Linked DNA regions of Elephas maximus indicus. The protein of the gene in region 1 purifies or fractionates together with the protein of each later gene. This does not show direct contact. Links are inferred from orthologs where the notes say so. Each region holds a gene or a part of one and is shown in the gene's direction. Other genes may lie near its edges.

The links. The genes of interacting proteins can lie anywhere in the genome.
Region 2: the proteins of FIP1L1 (region 1) and CSTF2T purify together in Homo sapiens (co-immunoprecipitation; 3 studies listed by BioGRID and IntAct, with this or other methods). This does not show direct contact. The link is inferred for Elephas maximus indicus from reciprocal best matches to the Homo sapiens genes FIP1L1 and CSTF2T.

What each region holds. Positions count from the first base shown.
Region 1 is NC_064823.1:108,330,146-108,337,789, reverse strand, and holds the start of FIP1L1 (pre-mRNA 3'-end-processing factor FIP1), read left to right. Parts: upstream 1-4,631; 5' UTR 4,632-4,829; coding exon 4,830-4,914; intron 4,915-6,095; coding exon 6,096-6,140; intron 6,141-6,235; coding exon 6,236-6,275; intron 6,276-7,644.
Region 2 is NC_064834.1:36,488,848-36,496,702, forward strand, and holds the start of CSTF2T (cleavage stimulation factor subunit 2 tau variant), read left to right. Parts: upstream 1-4,854; 5' UTR 4,855-5,013; coding exon 5,014-6,885; 3' UTR 6,886-7,855. UniProt on the Homo sapiens protein: May play a significant role in AAUAAA-independent mRNA polyadenylation in germ cells. Directly involved in the binding to pre-mRNAs.

The sequences.
Region 1 (7,644 bases):
TTGAACTCATCAGCTGCGGGAGAAAAATGCAGCAGTCCGCTTCCGTAAAAGATTTACAGCCTTGGAAACCCTATGGGGCAGTCCTTCTCTGTCCTGTATGGTCACTACAGAATTGACTCCATGGCAACAAGTTTGGTTTGGTTTGGTTTGGTTTTGAACATGCCAATAGTGCTTCCGCCTCAGAGTCTTCGCATTTCTTACTCCCTCTATCTGATAGTCTATGCATCTAGAAACCCACAGGGATTATGTCCTTGGTCCATTCAGCTCTCTTATATCACCTTATGAGATTGGCTTTCCCTGACCATTTCATATAAAATTGCATCCCATTCCTCTTTATCACTCTACTCTGGGTCCCCAGAAGCACTTACTGATGAAGATCAAAGACCACAGCCTTCAGTATGGATTATAGCTCAACATAAAGAAAACAAAAATCCTCACAACTGGACCAATAAGCAACATCATGATAAATGGAGGAAAGATTGAAGTTGTCAAGGATTTCATTTTGCTTGGATCCACAATCAACAACCATGGAAGCAGGAATCAAGAAACCAAATCCATTGCACTGGGAAAATTTGCTCCAAAAGACCTCTCTAAAGTGTTGAAAAGAAATGATATCACCTTGAAGACTAAGGTGTGCCTGACCCAAGGCATGGTGTTTTCAATCGCTTCATATACACACAAAAGCTGAATGATGAATAAGGAAGATGGAAGAAGAGTTGATGCCTTTGAATTGTGATGTTGGAGAAGAATATTGAATGTACCACGAACTGCTAAAAGAACAGACAAATTTGTCTGGAAGAAGTACAGCTGGAATGTTCTTAGAAGCAAGGATGGCGAAGCTATGTCTCTCAAACTTTGGAGACTGTCTTGGCTATCTAGTGCGCTATAACAGAAATACCACAAGTGGATGGCTTTAACAAAGGGAAATCTATTTTCTCGCAGTCTAGTAGGTTGTTGTTGTTAGGTGCCGTCAAGTCGGTTCAGACTCATAGCGACCCTATGTACCACAGATGACCTTCCCCAGGGACTGATCCCTCCTAACAACACGTCCAAAGTATGTAGGCTAGAAGTCCAAATTCAGGGCGTCGGCTCCACGGGAAGCCCTCCTCTCTTTGTTGGCTCTGGAAGAAGGTTCTTGTCCTCAATCTTCCCCTGGTTGAGGAACTTCTCAGGTGCAGGGACCCTGGGTCCAAGGGATGTGCTCTGCTCCCGGTGATGATTTCCTGGTGGTATGAGGTCCCCACTCTCTGCTTGCTTCCCTTTCTTTTTACCTCTTGTAAGATAAAAGGTGGTGCAGGCCACACTCCAGAGAAACTCCCTTTGCTCTAGATCAGGGATGTGGCCTGGTAAGGGTGTTACAATCCCACCCTAATCCTCTTTAACATAAAACTATAATCACAAAATGGAGGACAACCACACAATACTGGGAATCATGGCCAAACCAAGTTGACACACATTTTGGGGGGACACAATTCAATCCATGACAGACATGTTATCGGAGGGATCAGTCTCTGCAGAAGGACATCATGCTTGATAAAGTAGAGGGTCGGCGAAAAAGAAGACCCTCGATGAGATGGATTGACACAGTGGCTGCAACAGTCGGCTCAAACATAACAATGATTGTGACAATGGGGCTGGACTGACTGGGCAGTGTTTCCTTCTGTTGTACATAGGGTGGGTATGAGTCAGAACTGACTTGATAACACCTAACAACAACAACTGGGTCCCCTTATCCTGCTTACTCTTCCTAATCCTTCCCACCACTGCAGGTGTTATGACTGTACATGTTTATCATCTGTCTCCCTTGTTAGAATGAAGGCTCCATGAAAAAAATAACTTTGTTTTACTAACTACTGAATCTACAGAACCTAGAATAGTATCTGGCACTTGGTAGACTCTAAAAATATATATTGAATAAATAAATAAATGAGAGGAGATGAAAGAGAATTCATGAAAGATTTCACAAAGGGCATTATACCACAACAGAATTTAGAAGGATGCAAGAGATTATCCTAAATGGATAAGGGAGACTGGGAATAGCAGGTAGAGGAGTATTCAAAGTTTGTTTTGTTGTTGCCGTCCAGTTGATTTAGACTCATGGCAACCCCCCATGTAGGGGGGATTTAAACCACATGGTTTGTTTAAATAACATGAAATGGTGTGGTTTTCATGGAGTAAAAACACTTCACTTGTACTTCTAATATGGCCCATCTGCCTTTTCCCTTGTAGGTGTGCTAATTATTTCCCACCCTTCTTTCTCAATAAACTGAAAGCTTTTTAAGGATCATGTCTGTAATTTTCAAATTATTAAATACTGCAGATATTCAGTAACAAATAAATAAATAAAAGAACAGTATTTATTGATTAGAGAGAAAGAAAGCCCGTTGCTAAATTTGTAACACTAAAACGGATATCCTTCTGCTCAAAAGTGAGTGTTCCGTTTGGAAACTTTAGAACAGAAAGGGACTTTGTTGTTGTTAGCTGCCATCAAGTATTCCCCACCTCCCACCCCTCACAGACACAGGGTGACTCCATGCACAAGGAAATGAAAGCCGCCCTTTCCTGCACCATCTCCATGATTGGTTGTTGATCAGAATATTGAGATCCATAGAGTATTAATTGGCTGATTTTTGAAGTAGATGGCTAGGCCTTTCTTCCCAAGGGGATCTTAGAGATCATCTTATTCAGTTTTCTTATTTTATAGCTGCAAAAACTGAAACATAGTTTGACTATACTAGGTCATGCAACTAGCTAATCATAGTTAAGAACCATGACCCTAGTTTTGTTTTTTCCTTGGAAAATACGTTCTCAAAAGTGGCCTGAAAATTTGGTGTTATTTATTAAAATACAAACCATTTAATTTTTATTATTTGTATTAAACTGAAATCACATATTTCATGATCTATCTTGGAGAAACACTTGTAAAAATCTGCAAAAGGTCATTTACAAGGATCTTCATCGTAATTTTTTTGTGGTAAAAATTAAAAGTTGGAAGTTTATCAATATGGGTACAGCTATAGTCACATTGTGATACCCATAAAAACCCCACTGCCATCAAGTCGATTCCGACTCAGAGCAACACTATAGGACAGAGTAGAACTACCCCACAGAGTTTCCAAGGAGTGCCTTGCGGATTCTCACTGCCGACCTCTTGGTTAGCAGCCGTAGCACTTAACCAGTTAAGCCACCAGGTGTCCAAGTAATATTATAAAACATTTAAAAATGGACATAGTTCTATATATACTAACATGGGAAAGATCTCTAAGACATTGCTGAGTTAAAAAAAAAAAAAAGTCAGTCACAGAATAACATACAATACTATACTAAGACCAGCTGTCTTAGTCATCTAGTGCTGCTATCACAGAAATACCACGAAAACCAAACCCACTTCCGTCGAGTCAATTCCGACTCATAGTGACCCTATAGCACAGAGTAGAACCGCCCCATAGAGTTTCCAAGGAGTGCCCGGCAGATTCGAACTGCTGACCCTTTGGTTATCAGCCATGGCACTTAACCACTACACTACCAGGGTTTCCGAAATACCAGAAGTGGATAGCTTTAACAAAGAGAAATTTATTTTCTCATAGTCTGGGAGGCTAGAAGTACACATTCAGGATGTCAGCTCTAGAGGAAGGCTTTCTTTTTCTGTTGGCTCTAGGGGAAGGTCCTTGTCATTAATCTTCCCCAGCCAAGGAGCTTCTCAGCGCAGGGACCCCAGGTCCAAAGGACATGCTATGCTCCCACTGCTTCTTTCTTGGTGGTATGAGGTCCTGATGTCTCTCTGCTCACTTCTTTCTTTTACACCTCAAAAAAGATTGGTTTAAGACACAACCTAATCTTTTAGACTGAGTCCTGCCTCATTAGCATTTACCTACTGCTTATCCCATCTCATTAACATCATACAGATAAGATTTACAGCACATAAGAAAATCACATTAGATGACAAAATGGTGGACAATCACACAATACTGGGAATCTTGGCCTAGACAAGTTGACAGTTATTTTGGGGGGATACAATGCAATCCATGACACCAGCCAACCCCAGGTAGCCCCGCCAAAACTGTATGTGTGAAGCAAAGAATATTTCACAATGGTGTATATCAGTGGTTACTCTAGTAAGGGGGGTAGTGGATGAAAGTGCTCAAACCTTAACCTTAAGGTTGTTTTGTGTGTGTGTGCGTGTGCATGTGTGTGTGTGCGCGTGCACCTCTGTTCAACAAAGGGAATGTATTATTCATATTAATGTTTGCCGCTAAAATTAGTATTTTTTAAAAAGTGGAATGAATTATCATCTCTGAGAAACGGGACTAGAGTAGCAATTTTCTAACAAGGCTGATATAATTTGTAAAGGATAAAAAAAGCCTTTCTTAAGATTAAAAAAAAATGTTTGGGAAGACAAAGCATCAAGGGTAAAAAAAAAAAAGGGAACAATGGTGTACTTGCTGGCAAACGCAATACGGACTATTACAAGCAACACCTGTGCAAGCGAACACAAGCACACGCAAGACTAAACTCAACAGGAAAGCGGCATTCCATAGGGGCGGGGCAACCGCCGGCGCATGCGCAACCAGGTTCAGGTGGCCGCCGCCGCGGAAGCGAAGCCATCTAGAGACGCCGTACCGCTCGGGTACTGGTGCGCGTGCGCAGACGAACCTGCGCAGGGGTCTTCATGTTTGCCGCCTGTGCTGCCTTTCCTGGATTTAAGTCGCGCGCTTTCTTCGTCCTGTCTCTGCGGGGTTCGCGCCCCTCTCGCGCCCCTAAGCAGCGAGGCTGGGGAAGGGGTTTGAGGGGCTGTTGATCGCCGCCTTTAAGTTGTGCTCGGGGCGGCCATGTCGGCCGGCGAGGTCGAGCGCCTAGTGTCGGAGCTGAGCGGCGGGACCGGAGGGGATGAGGAAGAAGAGTGGCTCTATGGCGGTACGGAACTTCCTGTCCCTGTCTCTTTCTCCGGGGTTTATCTCAGGCCTCCCTTCCCGGCCCGCAAACAGCCGGCGTCCCGGGTCCTCAGGCTTGGGCCTGAGTTTAGGCCTACCATGTTGCGCGCCACCCTACCCCCTGCTTCCCTTCTCCTTGGCCTGCAGCCCGCCCAGCCCAGCCCAGGACCCCAGCAGGCACTCACCCTGCAGCCGCTGGCTACCGGGCCCTCCGAAGCCAGCAGCTGCGGGTCGGGGCCCGTGCGGTGGAGCTTTGCGCGCCTCTGCACCGAGACTGCTCCGCCGTCTGGCCTCCGCGCTCTTTACACCAGTGTTTCATATCGATTCTGAGGTGTATTGGTTTGTCCCTTCTGGCCCCTTGGTTGTGGGATACCATTCCCGTCCCTTGTTTTAGAAAGTCATTCTGTAATAATAGCTCAATAAAGTTAATGCTGCAAAACTAACGTCTTGTTTCTTAATGGTCAGTTTGTATGGAATGCACCTGCAAGGGTACCTCTTTGTCTGAAAGTCGTGCTTTAAAAATAACTTAAAAAGAGAGAGATGGATTACATGTTATGGCCCTTAAAGAAAACCCTGAAAAATCCCTGCGTTAAGGTGAAGTGTTTTTTGTTTTTGTGTTTTTTTTTTAAAAAGAGATTGCTCTTTAACCCTTATCATAGAAGTACCTCAGGTCCCTTAGGATAATAGTTGTCAATATCATTTCGTAGTTTTCTCAAATTTAATGCGTCTTGTGGTTCCCTCTTCAAAAGGGCTTGACTTTTTTTTTTTTTAACTTTAAGTAACAGTTTCTTCTCAGCTGTTACCGACACCAGTTTTGAAAATTATTGTTTATTCTTTGCCTAAAATTTAAATTCTTGATTAGCTTTAGGAGTGTGCAGTAAAAGTGCACGTTTGTGTACCATGCTGTTTAGTGCTGATGTGACTTGGATAAACTTTTGATAACAGTTGTAAAATAAATTCCTTATCTTTGGTCAAAAGATTTAGCATTCAACCTAGTATTGTCTGAAACGGGAACGTGTAGGGTTTCTTTTGTAGACTATCTGGATAGCTTCAATACTTCTTAAACAAAGCTTATTTTTATAGAAGTAAGGTGATTTTTTTTTTCCATTAGAGACTTATCTGTTAAATGATTATAAGGTGATCTAACTTTGGATGTGCTTATAGGCCCATGGGACGTGCATGTGCACAGTGATATGGCAAAGGACCTAGGTTAGTGCTTGTGATGATCACTTCAGATTTTCATAATACTAGTTCCTTTAAGAGTGGCTTGCTTATTTATTTATTACTATTTTTTTTTTTTGTAGATGAAAATGAAGTTGAAAGGCCAGAAGAAGAAAATGCCAGGTTAGTGAAATATCCTGTTGTTACTTGAGCAGTTGTGTGATGCCGTGGTTCTGGCAGTGGAATTGTCAGAATTATTTCATTTTAATAATTGATGTGATTACAATAGTTGGACTAAAGTTCAGAAGACATTGAATCCTTACGGGTTTATTCTTATTTCAGGACCTAATCTCATACCACTTCTGTTTGTTAGCAGTTAAGGGAGCAGTTCTTCAGGTTAGGGTTTGTAACTTTTCACTAGTAACTTTTTATTCCTCAGGAGCTATATGGTGTTTTATAGGGGAGTCCCTGGGTGGCGCAAATGGTTATATGCTTGATTATTGGCTGAAAGGTTTGTGATTTGAACCCACGCAAAGGTGTCTCGGAAGACAGGCCTGGTGATCTGCTTCCGAAAGGTCACAGCCCTGAAAACCTTATGGAGCAGTTCTACCCCATGACGCAGAATCAACTGGATGGCAGCTAACAAACAACAACAATGGTGTCCTATATAGTGTAACCATAAGTCTACTAAGAAAGATTATAAACCTGATTTTAAAAAAATGTTAAATAAGGGAACCAAAAGATTACTGCTTTTACAGTTCATTATCATTTTTGATTGTATGATGCACTTTGGTTATAATTTCAATCTGGTTTATATTTATTTGGATTCAAAATGAGATGAACTAATATGTGAGATTCTCCCTGGTTACTAGAAGGGTATGAGTATCGTGTACAGAACATATACAAAGAGCCAGGAACTTAATCTAAATTTCAGAACAACTCAAACATACAAGTGCATAGATACGCGGACTACTCTTCCCAGATACCTTAGTGTTGTATAATGAGAGTGGAGTTAGAGGGTTTCTTTAAAAAAGAGCCTCTAAAGAATATTTATGTTTAAAAGTGGAGGAAACACCACTTTATACCCACACGGATGGCTTCAGTAAAAACATTGTAACAGTTGTTGGTGACACTGTAGAGAAATGAAGCTCTCATATACTGCTGATGGGATTGTAAAATGGTGCAGCTGCTTTGGAAAGCAGTCTGGCAGTTCTTCAAAAGGTTAAAAACATATGACCCAGTAATCCCATTCCTAGGATACTTTAGCAGTTGTATGATGCTATGAGTATGTTGCTGTGAGTCGGAATCGGCTCAATGGCAATGGGTTGGGTTTATGATGCAACTAGAGAAATGAAAACATACATCCACACAAAAACTTGTACACAAATGTTCACAGCAGCTTATTCATAATAGAAAATGGAGACAACCCAAGGGCTCATCAACTGATGAATGGATAAACAAAAGTGGTATAGTCATGCAATTGAATGTTTTTGGCAAGTAAAAGAAGTACTGATACGCTGCCACATGGATGAACCTTGAAAACGTGCTAAAA
Region 2 (7,855 bases), on another chromosome or scaffold:
TCCCAAAGCCAACTCTTCAGACATGGATTGGACTGGACAATGGGTTGGAGAGGGATGCTGGTGAGGAGTGAGCTTCTTGGATCAGGTGGACACTTGAAACTATGTTGGCATCTCCTGGCTGGAAGGGAGATGAGAGGGTGGAGGGGGTTAGAAGCTGGCGAAATGGACACAAAAAGAAAGAGTGGAGAGAGAGAGCAGGCTGTCTCATTTAAAAAAAAAAAAACTTTTTTTTTTTTTTTTTTTTACTCTCTCATTAGGGGGAGAGTAATTGGGAGTGTGTAGCAAGGCGTATATGGGTTTTTGTGTGAGAGACTGACTTGATTTGTAAACGTTCACTTAAAGCACAATAAAAATTATAAAAATATCAATCTTAGGGTATTTGATATCTTGGTCTATTAAAAGAATAGACATCTGGGCATGCAAAATGCCTTGCATGTTTTCTTCAGAATATATACCATGCATAGAAAAAAGGAATATAAAATGGATGTTTTTCCAAGATAGACCTATGAAAAGTGTGTATTGACACCAGGAAATGCACACAGGTTTTTAAGAGCTCTTGGTGATTCTGGGCCTCTCAGTTAATAATATATTAGTTTACGTGTTCCAGGCATTCAGATATGTACTAAGTCACACTGGCCTTCTATGAAAGGGCCATATCAAAGCATCACTCACCGTTCTTCTAGTTAGGAAGAGGGGGACTAAAGAGTACATGGAAATTCTGTAACAAAAAGCAAACTCTTATGTTTGCCTGTTTCCCGAGTTCCTCAGCTACTCTGTGTTCACCCATCTTTTGAAGCTAGGGTATCTTCAGTGTGAGATCAGCATGTCCCAGCTATACTACACGAGCATAACAAATTAATGGATTGAAAAAAAAAGCACCCAGACCTCATATCTTTTAGTGGAGCATACTAAATTTAGTTTGGTTTGATGAGAATGAAGAAAAACACTTCAAGTTCTTTGTTTGGACCAGTGGTTCTTAAACTGTGGTTCCAAGACCTGCCAGCATTAGTATCACCTGAGAACTTGTTAGAAATGTAAATTCCCCAGCCCCATTCCAGACCTTCTGAATCAGAAACTGGGAAGGAATGGAGTGAGGCCCGTCAATCTGATTTTACAAATCCTGGTTCCAGGTGATTCTGATAAATGCACAAGTGTCAGAACCACTGGTTTAGATACTATCAGCAGCAGCAGCGGAGCCCTGGTGGGGCAGTTGTTAAGAACTGGGCTATAAACAGAAAGGTTGGCAGTTCAAATCCACCAGCGGCTCCTTGGAAACCCTCTGGGGCAGCTCTACTCTCTCCTACAGGCTCACTATGAGTTGGAATCAACCCAATGGAAACAGGTTTGTTTTGGTTTCTTGGTATCATCAGCAGTAAAAAAAAAAAAAAAAAAAGGAAAGAAAGAAAGAAAATTCACTATTAGACTGAGGTACACAACCTTCTATCAACTATACAACCAGTTTACTCTGATACCCTCTTACCATCCCCTTGATTCCTACATTCAATACACATAATCAGTCACCCACACAACCAATGTCTAAATTCCTTGATAGAATGTGGGTAAAAAGGCATGGCTTCTCTTTGTAAAGGGATGTATGGAAAAGAGACTAACGGGCTCCTTTTTAAAGTTTTCCTCAGTGATATCCTCAATTCTCTCCCTTTCCTCTCCTCTCTCTCACCCCCAAATAAATCGCGCATGTGCGCGCACACACACGCACACGCACACACACACACACACACAAAACATTACTAGTAGGTGGCTATTCTGTTTCTCTAAAGAAACAGGAAGTTTTCATTAAAAAAAAATTCATTAGGTTATATAAATACCCCATATTACTTGCAATCAGAGCTTCAAACCAGTTTGTTCTGGTTTGAGCTCTTGCTCAGAATTTGCATTTCTACCCCAGGCACACTGAATCAGAATCTACAGTTTAACAAGATCCCCAGGTGATTCTTTCATATAATAAACTTTGAGAACCACTGCTCTACTAGTGCTTCTCAGGGTTGGTCCCTAACCACCAATATTAGCATCAACCGGGAACTTGTTAGAATTGCAAATTCTCAGCCAGAGGTTCAAACCAGAAGGCACCGGTTCTCAGCCGTACTTGCCATATAAGTTGCCCTGTGTCTTGGGAGGATATCTGTATCTAAACTCGTTTTAAAGAACTACTAAAATTTTTTTTCTGTTATACATAAGGCTGCAAGAATGAAAGACTACTCAAGGTAACTAACAATAACAGAGCCTTTGAGGGGTAAATGGCTGCTTGGTTTTGTGGTTATGCCATTATACTCATCAGATCTATTCAGATATGTGACCCAATATCTGCTGAAACTTAAAGTTTCATAATTCTCCCAAAAGACATAGTTAGAATAAAGTGTTTCTCTGCCTCGCAGTTAAGGCTTGGGTTACTGGAGCAGCGCTGTCCATAATGTAAGGGACAGAGTTAAACTGTTCCCCCTCCTCCCACCAATCCCCCCAACCCGTGAGTTCCTGATAAGACATTTCTGTGTTACAGCCCAAGGTCATCTTATTGCTTCTCTGCTCAAGGCCATTACACTACTCACCAACCGTCCCCCACCCCTCCATTCAGACATGAGCAATAAGCCACAAAGCTGTTCTTAAATGAACTTCATGCATCACACTCCTCCAAAAACACATGGCCCCAGTCACCATATTGCACCCCCCACTGCACCCATTAGTTCCTGAAATTGCCCAGCTATTCCCAAAAACTTGGTGAATTATGCATAAATTTCCTATCCTGAACACTATAACTGCCCTAGAATTCCCAACTTTGGGGAGATTAATTTGAGACTTTAGTCTCCAAGTTCCATGCTTGACTGGCTTGCGGTAAAGCCTACTTTTTTCTTCTCAAAGGCCTAGTGTCTCTCAACTGACTCAAGGGGTTGCACCGGGCAGAACCCACCCTCATCGGGTTACAACAGACATAATGTAATCCATGTAGTAATTTTAAACTTTCTAATAGGCATGTTTAAAAAAAATGAGTGATGCTACTGATAAAAATATATTTCATTTTACCCAATATATCAAAATGACATTATTTCAACATGAAAACAATATAAAATCACCTGCTGTTAGGTGCTACAGAGTCGGGTCCGACTCACAGCAACCCCATGCACAACAAAAGGAAACACTGTCCGGTCCTGCACCATCCTCACAATTGTTGCTATGCTTAAACCCACTGTTGGAGCCACTGTGTCAATCCATCTCATTGAGGGTCTTCCTTTTTTCGCTGACCCTCTACTTTACCAAGCATGATGTCTTCTCCTGGGACTGATCCCTCCTGATAACATGCCCAAAGTATGTGAGACATAGTCTCACCATCCTTTCTTCTAAAATCACTAGTGAGATATTTTTATTTTTTTGTACTTAGTCTTCAAAATCTTGCATGTATTTTACACAGATAGCACATCTCAATTAGAACGTTAAATTTTCATTAGAAATCCTTAATTTATACTTAGATTTCATAAAATTTATCGACGTAAAAGTACACACCCAAGTTGTTCCAAACATATTTAAAAGTTTTCCAACAGCCAAGTGGAGTATCAGTTTCACATTAATTAAAAAGAAGCTAAAAACTTAAATTCCTCACTCACACTAGCCACATTTCAAGTACTCGAAAGCCCTGTGAACTAGTTGCTACTATATGGCACAGAACAGCTCAGGACGATTGCCTTTTACTGGCTTCCAGACCTTGGACAATTTACCTAGTCCTTTTTTCCAAGTTTCAGTTTAACCTTTTCCACATTCGGTCTTATAGTCTCTTAAATAGGGACAGGAACCCACATTTAATGTGTTTCAACTTCCGCCTGCAAAACTAATCCAAACCCCAAACTCTTTGCCACCGAGTTTATTCTGACTCACAGCACTCTATAGAACAGGGCAGAACTGCCCCACAGTGTTTTCAAGGCTGTAAATCGTTATGGAGGAGACTTCCACATCTTCCTCCCACAGGGCAACAGATGGGTTTGAACTACCACCTTTCAGTTCGCAGCCAAGCTCTGAACCCCTGTCCCAGCAGCTCCTTTACAAAACTAAACTCCTTACAAAATTAGCTGTTTTCTCCTTCACAGTAGAGGTTGTGAACTCATTGCATCAGTTTAACAATAAAAAAATTAAAACCAACCTAAATGCCTATCAATATAATAGTTACATGAATGTATTAATACTCTGCAGCAATACATTTTATTAGTCATTAATACTGTCAATTAATATATATGTGTATACATATATTTAAAACTCTGAATAGCATGACCACTGCCCGCGTGCAAAGAGAAGAATCTGGAAGTCACCCGTTAACAGCCGTTACCTGAAGCAACAGGATGGGGGAGGGGGAGAGCTGACACACGAGTTCGGCTTATATTTACGTGCAGTTATTTTCCTTCCCCTCCCCCCTCCCAAGAAACTATTACTTAATCTAAGGGGCAAATCTCAAATGTGCTTCGCAACGACTACACTTTTTCCTCGTAATCTGAGACGAGATTTTTATATATAATTTAAATACCCTACGGTATGCAGCAACGGTTACAAGAACGTATTTACATCCAAACGAAGCACACGTTGCCTTATTCAGCTTTCGGTTAGCGGTCCCCGCCCGTCCAACGGAAACACAACCACCCTTGACGTCAAGGGAGGCGGTCTCTCCCTGTTACCATAACGTAGTCCCTGCGGCCATCTTTACTGTGGTCAACTCACACCAAGCCTATACTGGTAAGAGGGGGGCTCCATGGACAATCTACAGGATAAAAGACGGGAAAGGAATCATGCGTTTCAGTAATAAGTAGACAGAAGCACGAAGGACCAGGGGCGGAAAGGCATTAGCTGTATTAGTGGAACGCAGAGGCGCGGCTTCCATGAATAAGCGGAACGCCTCAAGTGCACAGTGAGGTTTCTGCCCGGATTTTGAGAGCTATTTCCGTTGCTCGCCGGAAGTGTAGGTCGCAGGAGGACGACTCGTAGAAGAATCGGTTATCCTGTGTGTGAACAACCGGCATCATGTCGAGTTTGGTGGTGAGAGACCCGGCAATGGATCGATCACTGCGTTCCGTGTTCGTGGGGAACATTCCGTATGAGGCAACTGAGGAGCAGTTAAAGGACATTTTCTCTGAGGTTGGTTCCGTTGTCAGTTTCCGGCTGGTGTACGATAGAGAGACGGGAAAACCCAAGGGTTATGGTTTCTGCGAGTATCAAGACCAGGAGACCGCGCTTAGTGCCATGCGGAACCTTAATGGGCGGGAGTTCAGCGGGAGAGCGCTCCGGGTGGACAATGCTGCCAGTGAAAAAAATAAGGAGGAGTTAAAGAGTCTAGGGCCTGCAGCGCCCATCATTGACTCACCCTATGGGGACCCCATCGATCCGGAAGATGCCCCTGAATCAATAACCAGAGCAGTTGCCAGCCTCCCCCCGGAGCAGATGTTTGAGTTGATGAAGCAGATGAAGCTCTGTGTCCAAAACAGTCACCAGGAAGCTCGAAACATGCTGCTGCAAAACCCACAGCTGGCTTACGCGCTGTTGCAGGCACAAGTGGTGATGAGAATAATGGATCCAGAGATTGCTCTGAAAATTCTGCATCGTAAGATTCATGTCACGCCGCTTATCCCAGGCAAATCTCAGTCTGTCTCTGGCCCTGGCCCTGGCCCTGGCCCTGGCCTCTGCCCAGGCCCTAATGTTCTGTTGAACCAGCAGAATCCTCCCGCCCCTCAACCTCAGCATTTGGCTAGAAGACCTGTGAAGGACATTCCTCCTCTGATGCAGACACCTATCCAAGGTGGCATTCCAGCCCCAGGGCCGATCTCAGCTCCTATTCCCGGTCCTGGTCCTGGTTCCTTAACTCCTGGAGGAGGAATGCAGCCCCAAGTTGGAATGCCAGGAGTTGGCCCGGTGCCTTTAGAGCGGGCTCAAGTGCAAATGACAGATCCCAGAGCACCTATGCCTCGTGGACCCATGACTGCTGCTGGCCTTCCTCCTCGAGGACTGTTAGGAGATGCTCCAAATGACCCACGTGGAGGGACTTTGCTTTCAGTCACTGGGGAAGTAGAGCCCAGAGGTTACATGGGCCCACCCCATCAGGGTCCTCCCATGCACCATGCCTCTGGTCATGACAGCCGTGGCCCTTCCTCACATGATATGAGGGGTGGGCCAATAGCAGATCCCAGGCTGCTAATTGGAGAACCCAGAGTACCCATGATGGATCAAAGAGGTCTTCCCATGGATGGTAGAGGTAGCAGAGATTCTCGAGGGGTGGAGACTCGAGCCATGGAAACTGAGGTCTTAGAAGCACGAGTAATGGAGAGAAGAGGAATGGAGACCTGTACAGTGGAAGCCAGAGGGATGGAAGCTAGAGGCATGGATGCAAGAGGAATGGAGATAAGGGGCCCTGGCCCCAGTTCGAGAGGCCCGATGACCACTGGCCTCCAGGGTCCTGGTCCCATTAGTATGGGGGCAAGTGGGCCTCAGGGACCCAGACAGGTCCCAAGCATTTCAGGAGTAGGAAATCCTGGTGCTGGCATGCAGGGATCAGGCATACAAGGAGCGGGCATGCAAGGGGCAGGAATGCAAGGAGGAGGCATGCAGGGAGCAGGTATGCAGGGGGCGGGAATGCAGGGGACAGGAATGCAAGGAGGAGGCATGCAGGGGACGGGAATGCAAGGAGGAGGCATGCAGGGGGCAGGCAAGCAAGGTGGAGGCCAACCTAGCAATTTTAGTTCTGCTCAGAGCCAGGTAACTCCACAGGATCAAGAAAAAGCAGCTTTGATCATGCAGGTTCTTCAACTGACTGCAGATCAGATTGCCATGCTGCCTCCTGAGCAAAGGCAGAGTATCCTGATTTTAAAGGAACAAATCCAGAAATCCACTGGAGCTTCTTGAAAGGTTTTAGGAAATACTTGGCAGTTGTCTCATAGTTAATTTTGTAGCATGGTGAAGGGTGCAAAAAGCTCAATTCTGCATCCCCACACTTAAATGATAAAGGTTTCCTCCCTAGAGTGTAATCTCGTTCCTGTTTTCTTCCTTTCTGTTTTTTTTTTTTTTTAAGGGAGGTGGGGGGTGGGGAGGGAGTGACTCTGTTCATGTTAAGTCACCGTAAACATATAAAAGTAACTGAACATGATTATATTATACCAAATAAGATTACAGAGAATGTGCAGCAATATGAAAAATCTCTGCAGTGTTAACTACATTTTTAAATATTGGCTGGAACTATGTGAAAACCAAAAAACCTAAAAGGTGACCTGTTAAAATGGTAATGTGCTAAGATAGTTTAAACTTTTTTGATCATATAATAAGATGAGCCCTGGTGTCACAGTGGTTACAGCACTAGGCTGCTAACCAAAAGGTCAGCGGTTCAAACCTATCAGCTGGTCTGTGGGAGAAAGATGTGGCAGTCTGCTTCCATAAAGATTTACAGCCTTGAAAACACTATGGGGCAGTTCTACTCTGTCCTTTAAGGTCGTTTTAAGTTGGAATCAGCTCAGTGGCAATGGGTTTGGTTTTTTGTGTATAGTAAAACTAAAGAATTTACCTCAAAATGATACATCTGTTTTTTGGTAAGCCATTTAAAATGTGAAATTCTGTTTTGGGGGCAATTGAATGCTGTATTAGGTTAAGCATTGTTTCAGTGTTCTGGAATTATTTTGAAACGTTACTGCTGACAGGTTAAATCTAAACTTGTGTTACTGGAATTGTTTTTTCTAAAGTGATGCTACCTGAAAAACCAAGGAATGCACTGGTTTGATGTTGCTTCATTTATTCCGCCCATCAGAAAACCCACACTATTCTGGCCTGATCCTGAGAGATGGTTTTGCTGGAGTAGTTCTCACCAGCTTATTTAGGTCTGCTC